Canis lupus familiaris: one gene and its partners. The protein of the gene in region 3 purifies or fractionates together with the protein of the main gene of each other region. This does not show direct contact. Links are inferred from orthologs where the notes say so. Each region holds a gene or a part of one and is shown on either strand. Other genes may lie near its edges.

The links.
Region 1: the proteins of CUL4B (region 3) and COPS8 purify together in Homo sapiens (affinity purification with mass spectrometry; 7 studies listed by BioGRID and IntAct, counting the BioPlex papers as one, with this or other methods). This does not show direct contact. The link is inferred for Canis lupus familiaris from reciprocal best matches to the Homo sapiens genes CUL4B and COPS8.
Region 2: the proteins of CUL4B (region 3) and WDTC1 purify together in Homo sapiens (affinity purification with mass spectrometry; 4 studies listed by BioGRID and IntAct, counting the BioPlex papers as one, with this or other methods). This does not show direct contact. The link is inferred for Canis lupus familiaris from reciprocal best matches to the Homo sapiens genes CUL4B and WDTC1.

The regions. Positions count from the first base shown.
Region 1 is NC_049246.1:48,062,402-48,068,522, reverse strand, and holds the start of COPS8 (COP9 signalosome complex subunit 8), read right to left. Parts: upstream 3,418-6,121; 5' UTR 3,329-3,417; coding exon 3,251-3,328; intron 2,662-3,250; coding exon 2,591-2,661; intron 1,086-2,590; coding exon 1,037-1,085; intron 1-1,036. UniProt on the Homo sapiens protein: Component of the COP9 signalosome complex (CSN), a complex involved in various cellular and developmental processes.
Region 2 is NC_049223.1:72,404,366-72,410,551, forward strand, and holds the start of WDTC1 (WD and tetratricopeptide repeats protein 1), read right to left. Parts: upstream 3,418-6,186; 5' UTR 3,119-3,417; intron 1-3,118. UniProt on the Homo sapiens protein: May function as a substrate receptor for CUL4-DDB1 E3 ubiquitin-protein ligase complex.
Region 3 is NC_049260.1:93,266,496-93,272,695, forward strand, and holds the start of CUL4B (cullin-4B), read right to left. Parts: upstream 4,030-6,200; 5' UTR 4,015-4,029; coding exon 3,843-4,014; intron 1-3,842.

The DNA of each region.
Region 1 (6,121 bases), on a different chromosome or scaffold from region 3:
AAAATTTATTTGTATGGTTTATATAAATTCTAAGAGAAAATTAGAGCATAAAACACTTGTCCAAAAATATTTCAGAACTAAGTCTGGGAATTAACTTTCTTGAACAATTCTTCAAAATGTACTTGTATTTCATATATACATAAATGCTATAAATATCATATAGATATTCAAAGATACACCCATGTAAAATACATATGCATGTTTTTTTGTCAAAAGTAATAGCAAAATGACAAATAGTAAAGACTATCAATGTCATACACTGTAGCCTCTCCCAGGACCGAATTCCCACGAACGTCACTGAAACTATGAGTGTAATTTACAGTTCTTTATTTTAAGTCAATGAAGCTGGAGGAATAAGCCAATCTTATATAATAGAATGGAGAAGACAGACAGTAAAAATGCTAAATGAATTGCTGCTAAATACCAATAATGAACAGAAGAATTCAAGTGAATTCTTGATAATATTCTGTGAATATTCTGTGTTTAAAAAATTCACTTTGTACTTATTCTAGAAACAATGAATCCCATAAAATTAAAAATGTATTTCATTCCATTTTGGAAGAAAATTTTAAGAGGTTATTTCATCTAATCTCCCATCCAAACTAAGAAATCAAAAATCCTAATTACCAAAAATAATCTTAATGCTGTGAAAATCATTCTTAGGATATACTTGTAAATAACACCAATTTCAAAGTAAATACCATTACTGCACAAATCAGTTAAAAAAGCAAAACAAAACCCAAACCAAACCTTTATGTAAAATATCTGTTGTTTGCCAGGCAAAGTGGCACTTAACATGAAGTGTCTTAACGTGATCAAAAGAAGCTGAAGACAGATTTCTAGAACTATCCAAGGGAAATTAAATTTCTGATTAGAGGAAACGTGCAGATCTGTCCCTAAACTTTAATACCAGTTTAATAACTATTTCTGTGAACCATAGTAAAGAAAACAGAAACTTTAAAAAGTTTACAATGTTGCCATTTAAATGAAAGCAGTTACTACATTCAAGTAGTAGGAAATATTGAAGAATACTTACAGACTTTATAGCAGGTGGTATCCTCTTCCAAAGATATCTTGCATTATTCCTAATTTACATCCCCCCCCCCAAAAAAAAACAATAAGCAATTAAAAAAAATCACTTCGGTAAATGTTTAAAATTTTAGATCTTACTGCAAACACACAAAAGTATAGTTTAAAATACTCTGTATCTTATGGAGTCAAATTTAGTTTTATATGAATTTGTCCAGGGGAAGAGTAGCTTTTCAGATAAAAAGTAATAAAATACTTTTACAAAGTAATATTTTGCCATCTTTATAGTGCATTTTTAATTTATGATCTAGACCTTAAATTAAGGTAATGGTATGCTAAAAACACAAACACTGAAGTAGGTCATTTCTTCATAGATAAAAATAGGCAAATCTCTATACTTTCAAGGCTCTGGAGTTCCCTGACAACGTATGTGATACACATGCTTTCCTCCTTATCATGAACCCTCCTCTGACCAACAAGTGCAGAGCCACCAAAACTTCAAGAGTTTGAAAGCTTGAACTACAACAAACATATGTCAGGATCATGAAAATGAAATCGACAGCTCATGGGTATACGTCTAACAGAAATCAGAGGCTACTTTTTAAAAGATATGAAACAAAGAGCTTGAATAGAATTTAAAACAACACTTAACAGTAATTACTGACGACTTGCAGCACCAGAGGGACTCCTGTGCGCTTATGCTTCCTGACTTTTCTTCAACGAGCACAAATTAGGAATAACTAAAAACAACACCTTTCAAAGGATCTCATACATGTCATTAAACAAATTCCTCTCGACCTTCTCTATCTTCCCTTTCAGTTTCTCTGGATTGACTGATTACATATGAAATTAACAGGAGCCCATGGAGGTTTTATAAAAACAAGAAAGGTCCAGCAGCCCGGGTGGCTCAGCGGTTTAGTGCCACATTCAGCCCAGGGACTGATCCTGGAGACCTGGGATTGAGCTGCACGTTGGGCTCCCCGCATGGAGCCTGCTTCTCCCTCTGCCTGTGTCTCTGCCTCTCATTAATAAATAAAATCTCGGGATCCCTGGGTGGTGCAGCGGTTTAGCGCCGCCTGCAGCCCAGGGTGTGATCCTGGAGTCCCGGGATTGCATCCTGCATCAGGCTCCTGGCATGGAGCCTGCTTCTCCCTCTGCCTGTGTCTCTGCCTCTCCCTCTCTCTCTGTCACTGTGTGCCTATCATAAATAAATAAAAAATTAAAAAAAAAGAAACATCATAATAAATAAATAAAATCTCAAAAAAAAAAAAAGCAAAACCAAAAAAGGTCAACAGAATTAAAGGACTTTATTGACACTGCTGTTTCTCACAACAAATTAGAATGTGCTTTTAGAGAATATACATAAAACAAGTGTATTTTAAAACGACTGGGCCTAGGCACTATCCGGTAACACATGAAACAGGTGCATTAAGTATTATGATAAAAGGCACAGAGCTCCTTGCGCCTTAGGGTTTCGCTGATGTCTTCCCAACGCGAAGCGTAATTTCTGTACAATCCTCAGGAAGCCACTGCTCTCGGCTTTGGGTAGAAAAGTACTTACATGTCATTGTGGAGCAGATATAAAGCTAAGAGCTGACCGTACACGGGGGGAGTGGCAATTCCTCCAGGAGCCTGTAAGGCCAAAAAAAAAAAAAAAAAAAAGAAAAAAGAAAAATACCTTATTTACGCTTACACTTAAAAAAAAAAAAAAAAGGATTTTATTAACACCAACGTAAAAGATAAACCCTATAGTACTTAGAACTGCAGATGTAGAAAGTGCTCCGAGAAGAGACAAAACACTAAAAATCGCACTGTTGAGTTCAGATCTGCCGTCGCCTGTGATTTCTAGGTCCCTCCAAACTTCTGTGTCTCCGTAAGGACAAGAATATGTAAACTGAGGACGCCTGGGGGGGGGGGGGGGCTCAGCGGCTGAGCATCTGCCTTCCGCTCAGGGCGTGACCCCAGGGTCCTGGGTTCGAGTCCTGCCCCGGGCTCCCTGCATGGAGCCCGCTTCTCCCTCTGCCTGTGTCTCTGCCTCTCTCTCTCCCTCTTTCTCTCATGAATAAATAAACAAAACCTTAAATAAAATCTTAAATAGCTGCAAACAAGGAAAGGGAGCCCCCGGGGCGCACCCCCGCGTCCCCGGCGCCCCGCCGGCCCCGTTACCCTGGAGACCGGCACCGCCCCGGGGGCCCCCTGCCAGCGCGCCGCCAGCCGCCACCTCGAGCTCCTGGTTCTCGCACTGATCCAGCAGCTTCTTGAAACTGAAGGCGCCTTCCGCCATCACCGCCACTGGCATCTTCCCGGCCGGTCCCGCCGCCGCACCCTCGCCAGAGCCGACCCACGACTGTCCCTCGGGCCGTCGCGCCCGCGATGACGTAGGCGGCCGCCGCCGCCGCCGCCGCCGCCGAGCGCCCAGGCGCAGCTGCGCCGTCGCTTCCGGCGCGTCGTCGCCGCCGCGCTGGCCGGCGCTCTCGGTGCTCTGGAGGACCCGCGCGGCCTCGCGGGAAGCGGCTTCCCGAGCGCGCGGCCGGAGGCGGGAGGGGCGGGGTGTGCGCGGCGCGGCCTGACACGCATGCGCACTGCGAGGAGCGGCCCCGGCCTGGTGCCTCGACCGCGGGAGGTCGCGGGAGGCTGGGGTCGCCCACACGCGCCCCGCCTGCACCCCCAGGCTCCTGAGCTCTGAAACGGGTCCGGTGCGGGCTTGCACCGTGCAGCCCGCCAGGCTGGGCCGCTCCCCGGGGCTGGGGACCCTGGCCTGCTGCGGAGGCGCCTGGGGGGCGGGGTGGGGGGGGGTCCTCGCCGGCGGATGCTCTGCGGCGCTGTCTGCAGTGACTTGCTGTTGGGTTGCCCTTCGGGTCACCGCGGGCCCGGAGGCTTCTGTTCGCGTCCTGCTGCAGGCCCGGCTGCACAGTCCTCAGGTCCGGCTATAGAGTCCGCAGGTCCGGCTGCACAGTCCGCAGGGCCCGCTGCACAGTCTGCAGGCCCGGCTACAGAGTCCGCAGGCCCGGCTGTGCAGTCTGAAGGCCCCGCTGCACAGTCTGCAGACACGGCTGCACAGTCCGCAGGCCCGGCTGCACAGTCTGAAGGCCCCGCTGCACAGTCTGCATGTCCGGCTGTACAGTCCGCAGGTCCAGCTGCACAGTCTGAAGGCTCGGCTGCACAGTCCGCAGGTCCAGCTGCACAGTCTGAAGGCTCGGCTGCACAGTCTGCATGTCCGGCTGTACAGTCCGCAGGTCTGGCTGCACAGTCCACAGCCCCGGCTGTGCAGTCTGAAGGCCCGACTGTACAGTCCGCAGGCCCGGCTGCACAGTCCGAAGGCCCAGCTGTATAGTCCGCAGACCCGGCTGCACAGTCCGCAGGTCCAGCTGCACAGTCCGCAGCCCCGGCTGCGCGGTCTGAAGGCCCGAGTGTACAGTCTGAAGCCCCCGCTGTATAGTCTGCAGACACGGCTGCACAGTCCGCAGGTCCGACTGCACAGTCTGCAGGCCCAGAGCAAGTGGCAAATGCAGGACCCTGGTTGAAAAAATGGGAGGGGACGCTAGGGGTCATATCATGCAAAGCTTTCTCCTCCGACTGGAGTGTACCTCACCTTTTCCTGGTACTTTCTGCTATTTAGTAAGACTCTAAGTAAAGAAAAATTAAAAATTTAAACGATTGCTGTGAATCTTAGCATCCATCTTCACATGGTGCGCCGCCAGGTTTAAATTGAGATGTAAGTGCGTCGAACCCCACTGGGGAATCCGAGAAATCACGCAGTTCGTGTTTCATAGCTCATAGATGCGCTTGTATGTTGTTCTTATTAAAATCGTGGAAATGCTGCACAAAACTAACAACTATTTTTCATGCACTTTATGTTCATGCTCGACCAGCTCTGGCTCACATGCAAATGCTCTGTCGTCCCTATGGGCTTCACTCTCCAAACATGCTCAAAGGTAACATTATTAAGAATTTCGAGATAGCGACAGCATCACTGATTATTTTTACAGAATCAACACTGTTCCCACGTGGCAATGACTGTATGTAATAATGCTTTGGATGGAATATAAAGATAAACCACTATAAAACTCAAAGAATTGGCAACATTAAGTAGGAATGTACACAGGGGTGCCTGCGCAGCTCAGTTGGTTGAGCATCTGACTCTTGGTTTTGGCTCAGGTCATGATCGTGAGATAGAGCCCTGCGTTGGGCTCCTCGCTCAGCGGGAAATCTGCATGAGATTCTCTCTCCCTCTCTTGCCCCGCCCCCCCACCTCATGCTCTTTCTCTGTAAAAAATAAAATAAAATAAAATAAAATAAAATAAAATAAAATGAAGGTACAGAAATATCTTGCAGAAGTGGAGATATTTTGGAGAAATAAAGCATCCAAGTTTCATCCATCACACAAAGAAGAGGACTGAGGGGCAAAATGATTCTAAGACCCTTTGACATAAATTTGACGAGCAAGATTTAAAATTATTAAATTGTAATAACAGCTGCCTAAAATATTGGGCAAAGAAAGATTCAGTGGGATCAACTTCCCAGCGGTTTGATCATTTAAAAGGAAAACTATGATTGAAAGCTTTGGCAGATACTCTGGGCGGCTGAAAGGTGAGGACATAATAGATGGTTCTTTGCTGAACAGAAAATCTCGGTGAGGCTTTGGACACAAAGCATGGGTTACAGGTAGAATTTGGGGTGTCATTTGAAGGATCAAGCTGTTCTCTAAAGACAGGTACAGGCATTTGGGGATTGGAGGCTGGGAGTTGGGAGAGGAAGAGAGGACAGGGAAGGAGGGCTGCAGGCAAGAGCATTGTTGGCCCGGGAACAGAGAACTCCGAGTGCCGAGAAGGGCTGATGGATTTCCAGGGCTGGCATCCAGTTTTAGGTTGTTACTGTGCATGCTGCACCGGTCTTTACCTCCACACTTTCAATAATACGCAGGAGGAATGGAGGGGACAGGAGAGAGGGCGGGCTGGTGTACAAGGCAGTCATTTCAGGAGGTGGGCCTCAGAAGAGAGATCAGGACTTGGCAGCAGTAGGCAAGAGAAGAGGCCGCCGGGAAGGGAGCTGTGCATCCTGGAGGTGCTGACTCTGGAGTGGCAAGGGTTGC
Region 2 (6,186 bases), on a different chromosome or scaffold from region 3:
AACTCCTCTACCAAATCATTGTAAGAAGTGGCAATGCCTCTGCTTGAATGCCTATGATGATGGATAACTCCTTCCTTCACAAGGTGGCCCATTTTACTTTTATAGAGCCAAATTCTCTCCTATCAAGCCAACCCCTCTTGGAATTTCCATCCCTTGATCCTTGTGCTACCTTCCAGAATCACACAAAGAAAGTCCAGTTCTCTTTCTACAGGACAGTTAAATACTTGAAGGCACATATTGTGTTCTCCCAGGATCTCAGTTTTGGTCCTTCCAGCTCTTCATGTGTCATAGCCCAAAAGGAGACACATGAAGTCTAATGGGCTGCTTGATCCCAGGACCTGAGGATCACTGTCTGAGCCAAAGGGAGAAGTTCAATCACTGAGCTGCCCAGGCTCCCGTCTTTCAGTATTTTAAATCCTGTTTTGTTTTTTTAAAGATTTTATTTATTTATTCATGAGAGAGAGAGAGAGAGAGAGAGAGAGAGGTAGAGACAGGCAGAGGGAGAAGCAGGCTCCCTGCAGGAGCCTGATGCAGGACATGATCCCCGGACCCCAGGATCATGCCCAGAGCAGAAGGCAGAAGCTCAACTGCTGAGCCACTCAGGTGTCCTTACACCCTGTTTTTATATGGAAATGATGTCAAATTCCTGTCATTTTGATCTGTAAAAAACTAACCTTTATTGCATACTTACTGTGTGCCAGCCATTTGTTAGATGCTTTCCCTTATTTGCTATGTGGCCTTAAGCAAGTTATTTAACCTCTCTGTACTTGTATCTTCATATGTATAACAGGGAAGATGATTTTTGCCTCATATAGGACAGTAATGAGGGCTAAGCTAGATAAAGTAAAACACCACTTAGCACACAGCCCAACATATACCAAGCTCTCAATAAATGCCAGAGTCACTTTTAAGAATGTATTCTAATTAGTAAATATCTCTCAAAGTAAGTAGCCATAATTAAATATTAACACCAAGGGATTGTTTTCTGATGGAAACTGTCAGGGCTTGTGTTTTTAAAGCCTAAGAAGTTATGTGAGTCCCTCTGCAATGGCAGCCCAAAGAAGCAGTGGAAAGGAATCAGTGACCCAAAAGAAAGGTAAGTATCACCATACTACATGTTGTCTATGATTCCCTCTTTGAGACCCAGGACTGCACATGTGGACAACATTCCCTAATACAAAAAGGAGAGAAGAAAATAATTAGAGAAAATTTTAAAAATTATTAAAGTCACAGTTCTGGGTCTTTGCAGCATTTGGTCCCTCAAAATCCAAAGACGTTTAACAGAGGGCTTTAAGATCTTCAGTTGTATCCTTTCAGGTCCTAAAGCCTAGGTGTGTGAAAAAAGAACCTAATATGATGTCCCATGAGTCACTACTGAGTTTCTTCTAGCTAGAAAATTTGTCAGTGCATGACAATTCTAAAACCCACAGGTGGCAAATCGCCAATGTTAATATCATCACCATAATCATCACACATACTCTCTTTCTTTTAGTAAGTCCAAGGGAAGGAGTCTCAGGCAGAACTATGGATTGTTGTCCAATTATTCTTCAGAGTTGACCCAAAGCACTACAAATTGAGATGTGGGTTGATCATAAGTGCCCCCAAATAGATAAAAATATCCCAGTATTAAAGCAGCAGGATCATAAACTATGGCAGAAAAGGCTGCTTCCCACCTGCCAATGAACTACAACAACCTGCAATGAAGCTTCATTGTTAAGTCTCAGAGTCAGCCCAAATGAGCCTTTCTAGTTACTCCCTAGTCTGTGCTAGAGGATCCAATTATCATACTCAACAGACAAGATTCAATTCAATCTCTTTAAAAATATAAGAATTACAAGGAAGAATAAGCCAGAACTCAAACCAGAAATAGCCTTAAGTAGTTCCCTCACTTAGTGAAGACACTAGCCACTCAGGAGGGACTGTAAGGTACAGAAAAAGCTTGGTTCAGACCACTGGACAGAACTGTGCCCTAGGCAGAGACTTCCTAATATCTTTGAGTCAGTTGGTGTCCTCTGAATCGTCACCTTCTCAAAACCGTTTCAGACTTTGTTAAAAGGGAACACTTAACTGCCACTTTACACTGATCATCTACCGCATCCTTGGGAAGAATGGGGAAGTTACAGACACCCTATCAGGTTTCTAAACTCATAAACTTAAGAGGAAAACTTTAAAGTTGCTCTACCACTACCTCAGGAAGTTAAAAAAATAGTCACAGAAGAAAAGGACTTTGAGGAAAATAGTCAAATTAGGCAGTTAGACTTTAGTCATAAGTCTTGATACCTCTTTTCTTAGAGACCCTGGTGGTACACCTGCAGAGGAGAGTCAGAGGTCACTAAGCAAATTCAACCTGGCTGGCAAGGGGGCGTCCCACTGCAGCTTTCAGTGACAAGAATTGGATCCCGCTGGTCGGTTCACAGTCTCTCTTCTATTCCACACTTCCTATTTCCCTTTGAAGTGGGTACTGAATAGCTGGTACCCAAGTAAAGGCCCTCTGTAAGGGCGTTACAGTCGCCCGGAGGGAACACCTTGGCAGAGTTCAGCTTGGTGCCAGGATGGGCCACTGAAGGCATCTGCGGCTGCAAAAAGCCTGACCACGGACGGACACACGGACACACACACTCTCTCAGAGAGAGCGAGCGGGAGGGCAAGAGAGAGAGAGCGCGAGAGCGAGAGCGAGCGAGACAGAGCGAGAGCAGGAGAGCAGGAAACTAAGAGAGCAGGTCAGGTCAACGTAGCCCTCCCGGCATTTCCACCTGCCCCCTTCTTCCTGAGACCGGCGCCAGATCAGATGTCAAACAAAAACTCCGCAAAAAAAGTCCCGTGATGGGACGACTTCCACCTCTCCGCTGGCAGAGTCTCCCTGGATTCCCAGAGCCTCCCCCCCCACCCACGTCCCGGCCAACCCTCCATCCCACTCCGCCCCCGGCCCACTCTGCCCTTCGCCCCAGCGAGGCCTGCCCCCTCTCGGGACACCCCTGAGCCCCGAGGCTGGCGGCCTCAGGCCCCGGGGCCGGCAGGGCTGCGGGCGGCCCAGAGCGGGCGGCCCGTGTGCTGGGACTGCGGGAGCCGGTTTTCGCTCCGGCGCCCGGCGAGGGCAGGGGGCGGTGGCTACCGGTACCTGTCAGGCCTCTTCCCAGGACCGGCGGCGGCGCAACTTCAGGAGCCCATGTCCGTCCGGGGGGCCCGGCCCCTCTCCCGGGAGGGGGGGGGCGCGGATCCCGGGGAGGGGGCTGGGGGCCCGGGCAGCTCTAGCCCCTTCCCATGCTCCCCGCCCGGCGCCTGGCCGGGGCCGGACAGCGCCTCCGCCCGCCCCTGCGCACCGCCTCACACCCGCGCTCACACACACTCACACTCCCTCGCGCGCTCTCACACACGCACTCCCCTCCCTCCTCCTCCTCTGTTTATCTCCTCCAGCTGTCTGGGGACCCAGGAGAAGCCCGGCACCGCGCCTGCGCCACGCAGTCTCCGCCCCCGCCCCGCGCCTCACAGCCGGCGGCTACGCTACGGAGACGGCGTCCGGCGGCTTCCAGAATGGCTAGCCGGGCCCCTCCCCCGCCCCGCGCGCCCGGTCAACGTCTGCTGCCGGCGGTGCCTACTAACCTGCTAGTGGGGGAGCCCCGCACCGCCGCGACCAATCCGCTCCTGCGCTAACCGGACCGGCAGCCAGTGGGCAGGCGGGAAAGCCGGACTAAGCCCCAAGGCATCCTGGGAGTCGTAGTTTTTCTCCGTGGAAGAGCTCCTGCCGCGTGGGCTCACCCCGCCCAGTTGCCATTAGTTACCCTGACGCACCTCCCACCCCACATCCAAGGAAAATGCTCCCTCATGTGGTTTCTGGGACACCCATCACACTCACCCATTGCCCCTCAGAGCCCGACGGAGTCTCCTAAGAGCTCCACAGAGACTTTTCAGACTGGGGCCCCAGTGCCTCCCTCCCATCCCCCAGAGCCGAGCTTCATCTTACTTCTTCCTGCCCTGGGGGGCTGCTGAAATGGCACATTCCTCACTCTTGCTCCTGGGCCTGAAGGAGGCGGATAAAAGGTAATCAGTCCTACAACCAAGTGGCTTGGACGGGAGCCAGCCACACACACTCTGGAAACTCTCAGCCTGACCGAGAGAGAGAGACGGGGTCCATCTGGGACTAACGGTGGAAGCACTGCTGTTTCCCGCCTCGAAGGAAGAGGCAGTTCCAGCCTAGCGGAGTGCCAAGTCTGATGGAGGAGACACCGTCCTCTCTAAGGAAGTTCCCAAGGTGACAAGGGAGGAGGCATCTTGCCCAACTTCTGAAGGCAGAGACCAGGCCCCACCCATGAGGCGCCTCAAGTCAGAAAAAGAAGATACTGTCATCATCTACTGAGAATGGAAACTTGTCACTCACCCATAGGGTGGGTGCCACTTGTCAGATAACGATAATTAGCTTTTATTTAGCATTTACTGTGTCACCGCTATATGAAGTACAGTTTGTTAGATACTCTTACTGGGTTTTGCAGAAGAGAAAGCTAAGGCACAAAAAGATTAAAAGCAACTTGCCCAGGGTCACATAGCTGACAAGGAACCAAACTGGGATTCAAACCTAGATCTGCATTACTTCAGAGTCTGAGCTTTTTGAAGACTCCCTGTCCCTCCAGTGAGAACCAGGCAGCACCCACTCTCAGGAAGGACTAGACATATTTAGCATCCATAGCGCTTGTTCCGTGTTTATCACTCCACGAGTTGCTTGTTTTTTCTGCTTCTGCTCACATCAAGTGTATAAATTAGTCTGTGAGCTCCCAAAGGGTGATTTCTTCCCATTTGGAGGAGTTAGAACCTACTTGAATTCAGCTTTGTGAAATGTTTTTCTCTTGTAACTGTGGGTCATCTTCCTGATCTCTCCCCCCATAGATGTTCCACTGCATATAAAATATCATAAACTTTGGGACTAGAAGGAAGCTTTGAGATTCTCTCTCCATAGCTCTCCAGGCTCAGGCTGAAACCTGGCTAAGGTCACTGGCTCAATTAAACTGAATAATAACTAACATGTATGGAACACTTACCATGAGGGGTAAGTTCTGTCCTCACAAGTTGCATAGCTAGGAAGAGATACAGTTGGGATTCAAATCCAGATTCTTTGAATCCAGAATTCCCATTTTAAACTCTTGCTCTCTGCTGGCAATATCACAGAGGCTCTTAAAAATACCAACAGAGAAGTGTGGGTGATTTGTCTGTGGCTCCTAGCAGTCTTTGACACATAGTAGATGGTAAATATTTGTTGGCAGAATGAACTTTTGTTGGTGAGGAATGGATGATAGGATAAAGAATATTAATAAGAGCTGGGGGATGCCTAGGTGGCTCAGTCGGGTCTGACTTTGGTTCAGGTTGTGATCTCAGGGTGCTGGCATCGAGCCCCACATTGGGCTCTGCTTGTCCCTCTCCCTCTCACCCCCCCCCCCGCCATCGCTCATTCTCTCTCTCAAATAAATAAAATTTTAAAAAGAAAATAGCTGCAGCTATAGTTAATTGATTATTTTCTACCAGGAGCTCACTTGCCCTCTCATGTACTCTCTTTCTGTTTTCTACATATATGAATATATGCATATATATTATATGTGTATACTGCATATATATACGTGTACATACATATGTATGTATATGTGCATACATTTATCTATGTATACACATACATTCACATACACACTAACTCATTTGATTCCTATAGCTACCTTATGAATTAGGTATTATTCTTACTCCCATTTTCACATAGGAAAGACAGGCTCACAGGAGAATTAAGCTCAGAATCAGGCACCCCTCCCAGCCATAGGTGTTTTTGGATAATTTCAGAGAAAACTTTCTAACCTATGGAGCTGAGCTACTTTGGGAGGTTGTAAACCCTCTGTCTTTGGTAGTATTCAAGGATAGGATGTATAATCATCTGTCCAGGATACTATAGGAACAGTTGGTCTATTGGGTAGATATTTAAGTGACTAATTCCAATATTTCCTTGTTTGGCTTTTGGAAGAAGACAAGGATTATTCAAATAAGGCTTGTGACAACGAATGTAGCTCCTTTTTCTCTCCTAAGTGCACTGGATAATGCCTCAATTGATCAGCTCTGCAGAGGTAGTCACTGATACAAACTTTTTCATCTGCTGATTGGATACTTGGGCAAAAGGAGGCATATTTGACCTAAAATTGAAGATGCTCTTGTTCTACA
Region 3 (6,200 bases):
GAGTTGCTGGACCTATTTTTAACCTTCCCTTCACTTTATCAATGACTCTCACTGTCCCTCCCACCCTGCTTTAAGATTTGATCTTCCAATGGCATTCAGCTTTTCTTTTTCTCAAAAGCAAGGCCGTTTTAGGTTTAAATCAGTGGCTCCCAACTCCAAATAAACAACAGAATTACCTGGGGACTTAGAAGAAAAAAAAAAAACACCTTTGCCCAGGTTTCAAACTAGTCCAACTGAATTGGAATCTCTGTGAGTAGTGACTCCATTACCATTATTTCTAAGAAGCTCTCAGGGTGAATCTACTTACCTTCAAGATTGAGACCACAGCTGTAGGTGAACTAAGTACCATCAAGATTTGAATGAGGCTGATAAGCCCTTGTACTCTTTAAAGCCTGAAATTTCACAATTATTTATTCATTCCTTTTGATAAAAATAGTCTCCTTCTCTAGGAATCCTTTTTTCAAATGCAAATTAGCCAGAGAGACTCAGTTCCTGACCCTTTAAGGTGAATGCTTCTTGGGAACAAAGGATAATACAAAAGTCCTAAGTGCCTGGAGGTAAACAGAACTAGGACTAGGCATTGCAATGGGGGGTGTGGTAGGGGGGTAAAGTTACATCAAGGGAGGAAAGAGTTCTGAGAGTACCTCTTGCTGACTTCACAGTATTGCCTGGGGCCAATCCTACTTTGTGATGGCTGCATATTTAAGATCTGGCTAAGTTTATCTCAGCAGCCAAAAGCTTATTCAGAGAAATTTAAATATTTTTATAAGCAAAACAAAGACCAGACATCAGGAATGTAGATTTGGGGCTATACATAAATGCCCAACTCTGAATTAGTCACCATATGGATGTTTCTATTGTCAAGTGATCTGTTTTTCCTGATTCCATTAAATGTCCTTTATTCCCACCAATAGCATTATTTTTCTTGCCAATTCATTTGGTCACTCAACAAAAATGTATTGAGCAACTACTCTGGGCAAGGCATGGTGCTAGATGTCATAAGGGAATACAGAACTAATACAAAATTCCATTTGTGGTTGATTTTATAGTTTTTCAAAACACTTTCACATACAATCTTATTTTATCCTCATAACCACACTATGAGATAGGTCAGGTGCCATCCCCATTTTACAGATGAGAAACAGGCTCAGGGAAGGAGGTTAAAATGACTTGCCAAAAACATGAAGCCCACAGACATAAACCAAACCCACTTTTTCTCTAAACTCAAATATGGTATTTCTCATAATTTCCAGTTTAAGCAGAAGACATGCCACAAAATTGTCTCAAGTAATAGATAAGTTAGGAAAAGACTTTCAGAGCCCCACTCACCAAGAGGGAAAAAAAAAAGAAATAAAAAAACTACTCCTTTATTGTGATGAGCCAAATCATAGTGCCTAATAGGAGACCAAGCTTGGATTCAGTTCAGGCAGGACGCGGCAGCAAGCAATGCACATTCAAGGAGACAACAATTTGGTTTTAGAGAATCAGAATTAGTCCATTCTTTGGCTGGACCCTCAATCAACGGCTGATCTTCACCAGAGGTAGAAACCAGCTCCCTCTCCTAGCCAAATCCTGACAAACACTAAACAAGCCTTGCCTGAGGACCTCTTATGATCCAGTCCCTGAGTATACAAAGACAACCCTTGCCCTCAAACAGTTCCCAATTGGCCTAGTGGGTGAGGCAGACAATTAGAGGACAGAGTGATAAAAGCTGCTGTAGGAACACAGAGAGACACCTGCACAGCCTAGGAAGGTGGGGTGGAGTAGAGAAAAGGTGGAGGTGGGGAGTTACAAAAAGCTTCCAGAGAAAATAATAGCTTCCAGAGAAAGTAATTCAATTTAAATCTGTGAGGGTAAGTGGGAATTAGCCAGGCAAGAAGAGTGGGAGGGGGCAAGGGGCCCAAAGAAGGAAAACAGGGCGCAGGTTTAAATCCTGAAGGTGAGAAAGACTAAGACATACTTACTATCTTCAAGGAAACTCGTTCTCAGGGAATAGTTTGTCCTAACCAAAACCCCTAGAGTATTGAGGGAAATCAAGGCAGCATCTCTGTCTAAAATCTGGTACAGTAATTCCTAGGCCTCTTAGCACCAGGCCTGACTTACCCCTACTTGCTGTTGGAGTGGTAGCTACTGATAATTCTTACTTTGAGCCACTAGTTCAGGAACTGGGGGGGGGGAGGTGGAGGGGTGGGTATGAGGAGAGATAAGCATGGGAAATAAGGTAATGAGAAAGAAGTGAGATAATACTTGTGCACATGTGACCACAATACTGGACAATGCTACAGGAACCAGATAAACTAAAGCAGAGTTTGGGAAAGGGCAGTCAGTTGAATGAACCCAGCCAGCTGCCTATTTTTATAAATAAAGTTTTATTGGGGTGGGGGAGTGCCTGGGTGGTGCAGTTGTTCAGCGTCTGACTCTTGGTTTCAGTTCGGGTTTGATCTCAGGGTAGTGATATAAGGCCTCATGTTGGGCTCCATGCTCAGTGCAGTCTGCTTGAGTTTCCCTCTCCCTTTGCCCCTCCCCGCTGCACGTGTGCACTCTCTCACTGAAATAAATAAATCTTTTAAAAATAAGAAAGTTTTATTGGAATACTGCCATACTCATTCATCTACATATTTTTTGTGGCTGCTTCTGTGCTAAAACAACAGAGTTCAATAGTTGGGACAGGCCATATGGCCAGCAAGAGCCTAAAATATTTCCTATGTAATCGTTTACAGAAAAAATAAATTTCTGATCCTTTGCCCTTGAATATACTAAGTACTAATAATAGATATATGGAGACTGTTTAGTGGTGGCCTAAGGGAGGAAGTGATTCAAAACATGCTACAGATTTTCTGTTCCTAGTCTGTATCAACTTTGATATGGACCTCAAAACATGACAAGAGAATATTCTTTAAAATTTTTTTTTAATTTTTATTTATTTATGATAGTCACAGAGACAGAGAGAGAGAGAGAGAGAGGCAGAGACATAGGCAGAGGGAGAAGCAGGCTCTATGCACCGGGAGCCCGATGTGGGATTTGATCCCGGGTCTCCAGGATCACGCCCTGGGCCAAAGGCAGGCGCCAAACCGCTGCGCCACCCAGGGATCCCCGAGAATATTCTTTAATAGAATGACTAAATGGGAGTATATTTGCACAAAGAAATACTACACGACAGTGAAAAATTAATTACAGCTATATGCATAAATCACAAAATTAATGTTACACGAAAAAGGCAATAATTACAGAATATATGCAATTGACAATTTTTTTTTGTAAAGCTCAAAATTAAGGAAAACAATGGATAGAAAATATAGAAGGGAAAAAAACAAAACAAAATCCAGGGTAGGGGATTGCTCTGGGGGAAGCAAAGGGGAGAACTTAGGTAGATTCAAAAGCATTGTTAAATGTTCTAGTTCTTAGTTTGGTGATGGATTCATGGGTGTTTGTTTTCTTACTATGCTCTATAAATTATATGTCACACATATTCTTCTGTATGTATTAAAATTGTATAATAGTTTTTAATTTTTATTGTTATTATTTTTTTCTTTAAAGATTTTATTTATTTATTCATGAGAGACACAGAGACAGAGACACAGGCAGAGGGAGAAGCAGGCTCCATGCAGGGAATCTGACGTGGACTCGATCGGGGTCTCCAGGATCATGCCCTGGGCTGAAGGCTGCGCTAAACCGCTGAGCCACCCAGACTGCCCCTATTGTTACTATTTTTTTAAGTAGGCTCCAAAACAGTGTGGAGCCTAATGTGGGGCTTGAACTCATAACTGTGAGATCAAGACCTGAGATGAGATCAAGAGTTAGATACCTCACCTCATTTGACTTTTACTAGTTTATTTACTCACCATTATCTTCTGAGATGGCTGCATCATCTCTTCCATTCCCTGATTCAGAGGGCTGTGACATGGTCCATCTTTGGAGGACTACATTAGAAAATAGAGAATTCAGGTTAACAGCAGTTCTCTCCCATATCTCTAGTTTTCTGGATCCATTGACTCTGGTCTCAATCAATTGCATCCTATTTCATATCTTCAAGAAAATACTCACAATTTTGGCTGGCTCATCACACCCTTCCCGGTTATCCCTTATGGTTTCGGGTCTAATATTTAGTTTTCTTCTTTCATTTAATGCTAACTTGGGAGAAAAAGCACAATTGTTCAGACTAACATCTAAAATTGGAAATCTGCCATGCCCTTTTAAATTACTATGGCTCGTGCCCCCCCACCCCACTCCCACACCCACCCGGGGGGGATTCCAGGCCAACAAACAGACCCTGGTCAAGGGGTCCTCCAGCTATTTCAGAGGGTCTCAAAGTCCAATCTCACTATGATCCAAACCAGGTCTCTATCTTCTATATTGGCCTCTTCATCAGACTACAGAGCCATGGTTGTTGGGATCCCTCTTCCACGCCGTGGTCACCACCTGGCTGAGAATTTTCTCTGCAGGTAACTATGGCTCTGACATGCTTTTGCCTAACTTACCCATATCACCAGTGAATAAAAGCTATAACTTCTATAGCAACATATCTCTTTTAAACGTCTGAGAATAACGAAAAGAAGTATACCACAAAATAATTTAAAGTGGCCAGAGATGAGCCTTGGCTTAAAGTCTCTTGGCTCCAAGTCAGGCACACAGCCAGTAAACTCCTAAAGGATACCCTCCTCTTTCCATAATCTCTAAGGAGCTTTTAACGCACTGCCCCAAGACCAACAGGATTTGTTGTGGTTACCAGCGTTCTGTTAACATCAGAAAACCAACGGCTAGGAATGCGGACAACAACTGACCACCGACGACCGTTAGGCATGCTAGCAATTCGCGGGCTTTTTCCTAAGAAAGTGCTGCCCACTGAAGCTTGAGTTCTGGTGCTTTTAACGGTTTTCAAGGATGATTGATTGACAGCAGATCTGACCAATCCTTTCATGGGAAACCCCACTCGCCTAACAGGGGCCTGATTGGAACCAAAAGCAAAAACATAAAACTCGGTCATCTCTCCACCTCTCTTTTCTGTATTGCCTCATTCTCTAAGACTCCTTCACATGATAGAGACATGGTTACCAACTGCTTTGGGGTCACATCCTTACAGTTTAATGTCCAAAGAAAGGAAAAAGCTACTTCTTTACCTCTGATTTGTATTATTCCAAGGAAGGTCTTGTATCTCTGGCCTAGGACACATGCCTACCCTTTGGAGCTGCCATTGTGTCCAGCAGAGTTTGATATTATGATTAGCCCATCCTGGGTTAGGTGCAGAGCTGGGTCTGTGGAGGGTGCAATGGGGCAAGTTACTATCATTACCTGTCCCACCAGTACTATATTGAAAGGACAGTGAAAGAGAAACAGCTCTCCAAATGAAAAGGAGTGCTACTACTAGAAGCAGGGAAGAAAGAATGCTGGGCAAATCAAAACAGCAGATGTCCACTATATAGCCTTCTCAGTTTTAATAGTGTTTAAATTGCATTTCTTGGATTCTTTTTTTTTTAAAGATTTTATTTATTCATGAGAGACACACAGAGTGAGAGAGAGAGGGAGGCAGAGACAGAGGCAGAGGGAGAAGCAGGCTCCATGCAGGGAGCCCGACGTGGGACTCAATCCCGGGTCTCCAGGATCACACCCTGGGCTGAAGGCGGCGCTAAACCGCTGAGCCACCTGGGCTGCCCCATTTCTTGGATTCTCAATGCATATCATCATATCATCTGTAAATAATTATCCTTTTTTTTCCTTTTTTCCTTTTAGATTTATACAACTTATTTCATTTTCTTGGTTTATTACATTTTAGAACCTTCAAAAAACTATAGAGGACATCTGTACCTTATTCCTGAAATTGATAGGAGAGAACTTGATCATGATGCTGGCATATGGCTTTTGAAACTCTTTCCTATATTTAGAAAGTTGTCTTCTATTCTTTTGTACTTAGAACTTTTTAAAGATTTTATTTGAGAGAGACAGAGAGCCTGACCTGAACAGGGAAGAAGGGCAGAGGGAGAGGAAGAAGCAGGTTCCCTGCCGATGCAGGGCTCAATCCCAGGACCCCAGGAATACAACCTGAGCCAAAGGCAGATGCTTAACTGATTGAGCCATTCAGGTGCCCCTGTACTCAGAATTTTTATAAGGAATAGCTGCTGGTTTTTATCTGGTACCTTTTCGCTATCCATTGACAGACAAGACTATATAAAAAATAAAAATTTTGTAAGGAGTGAAGTACAGAA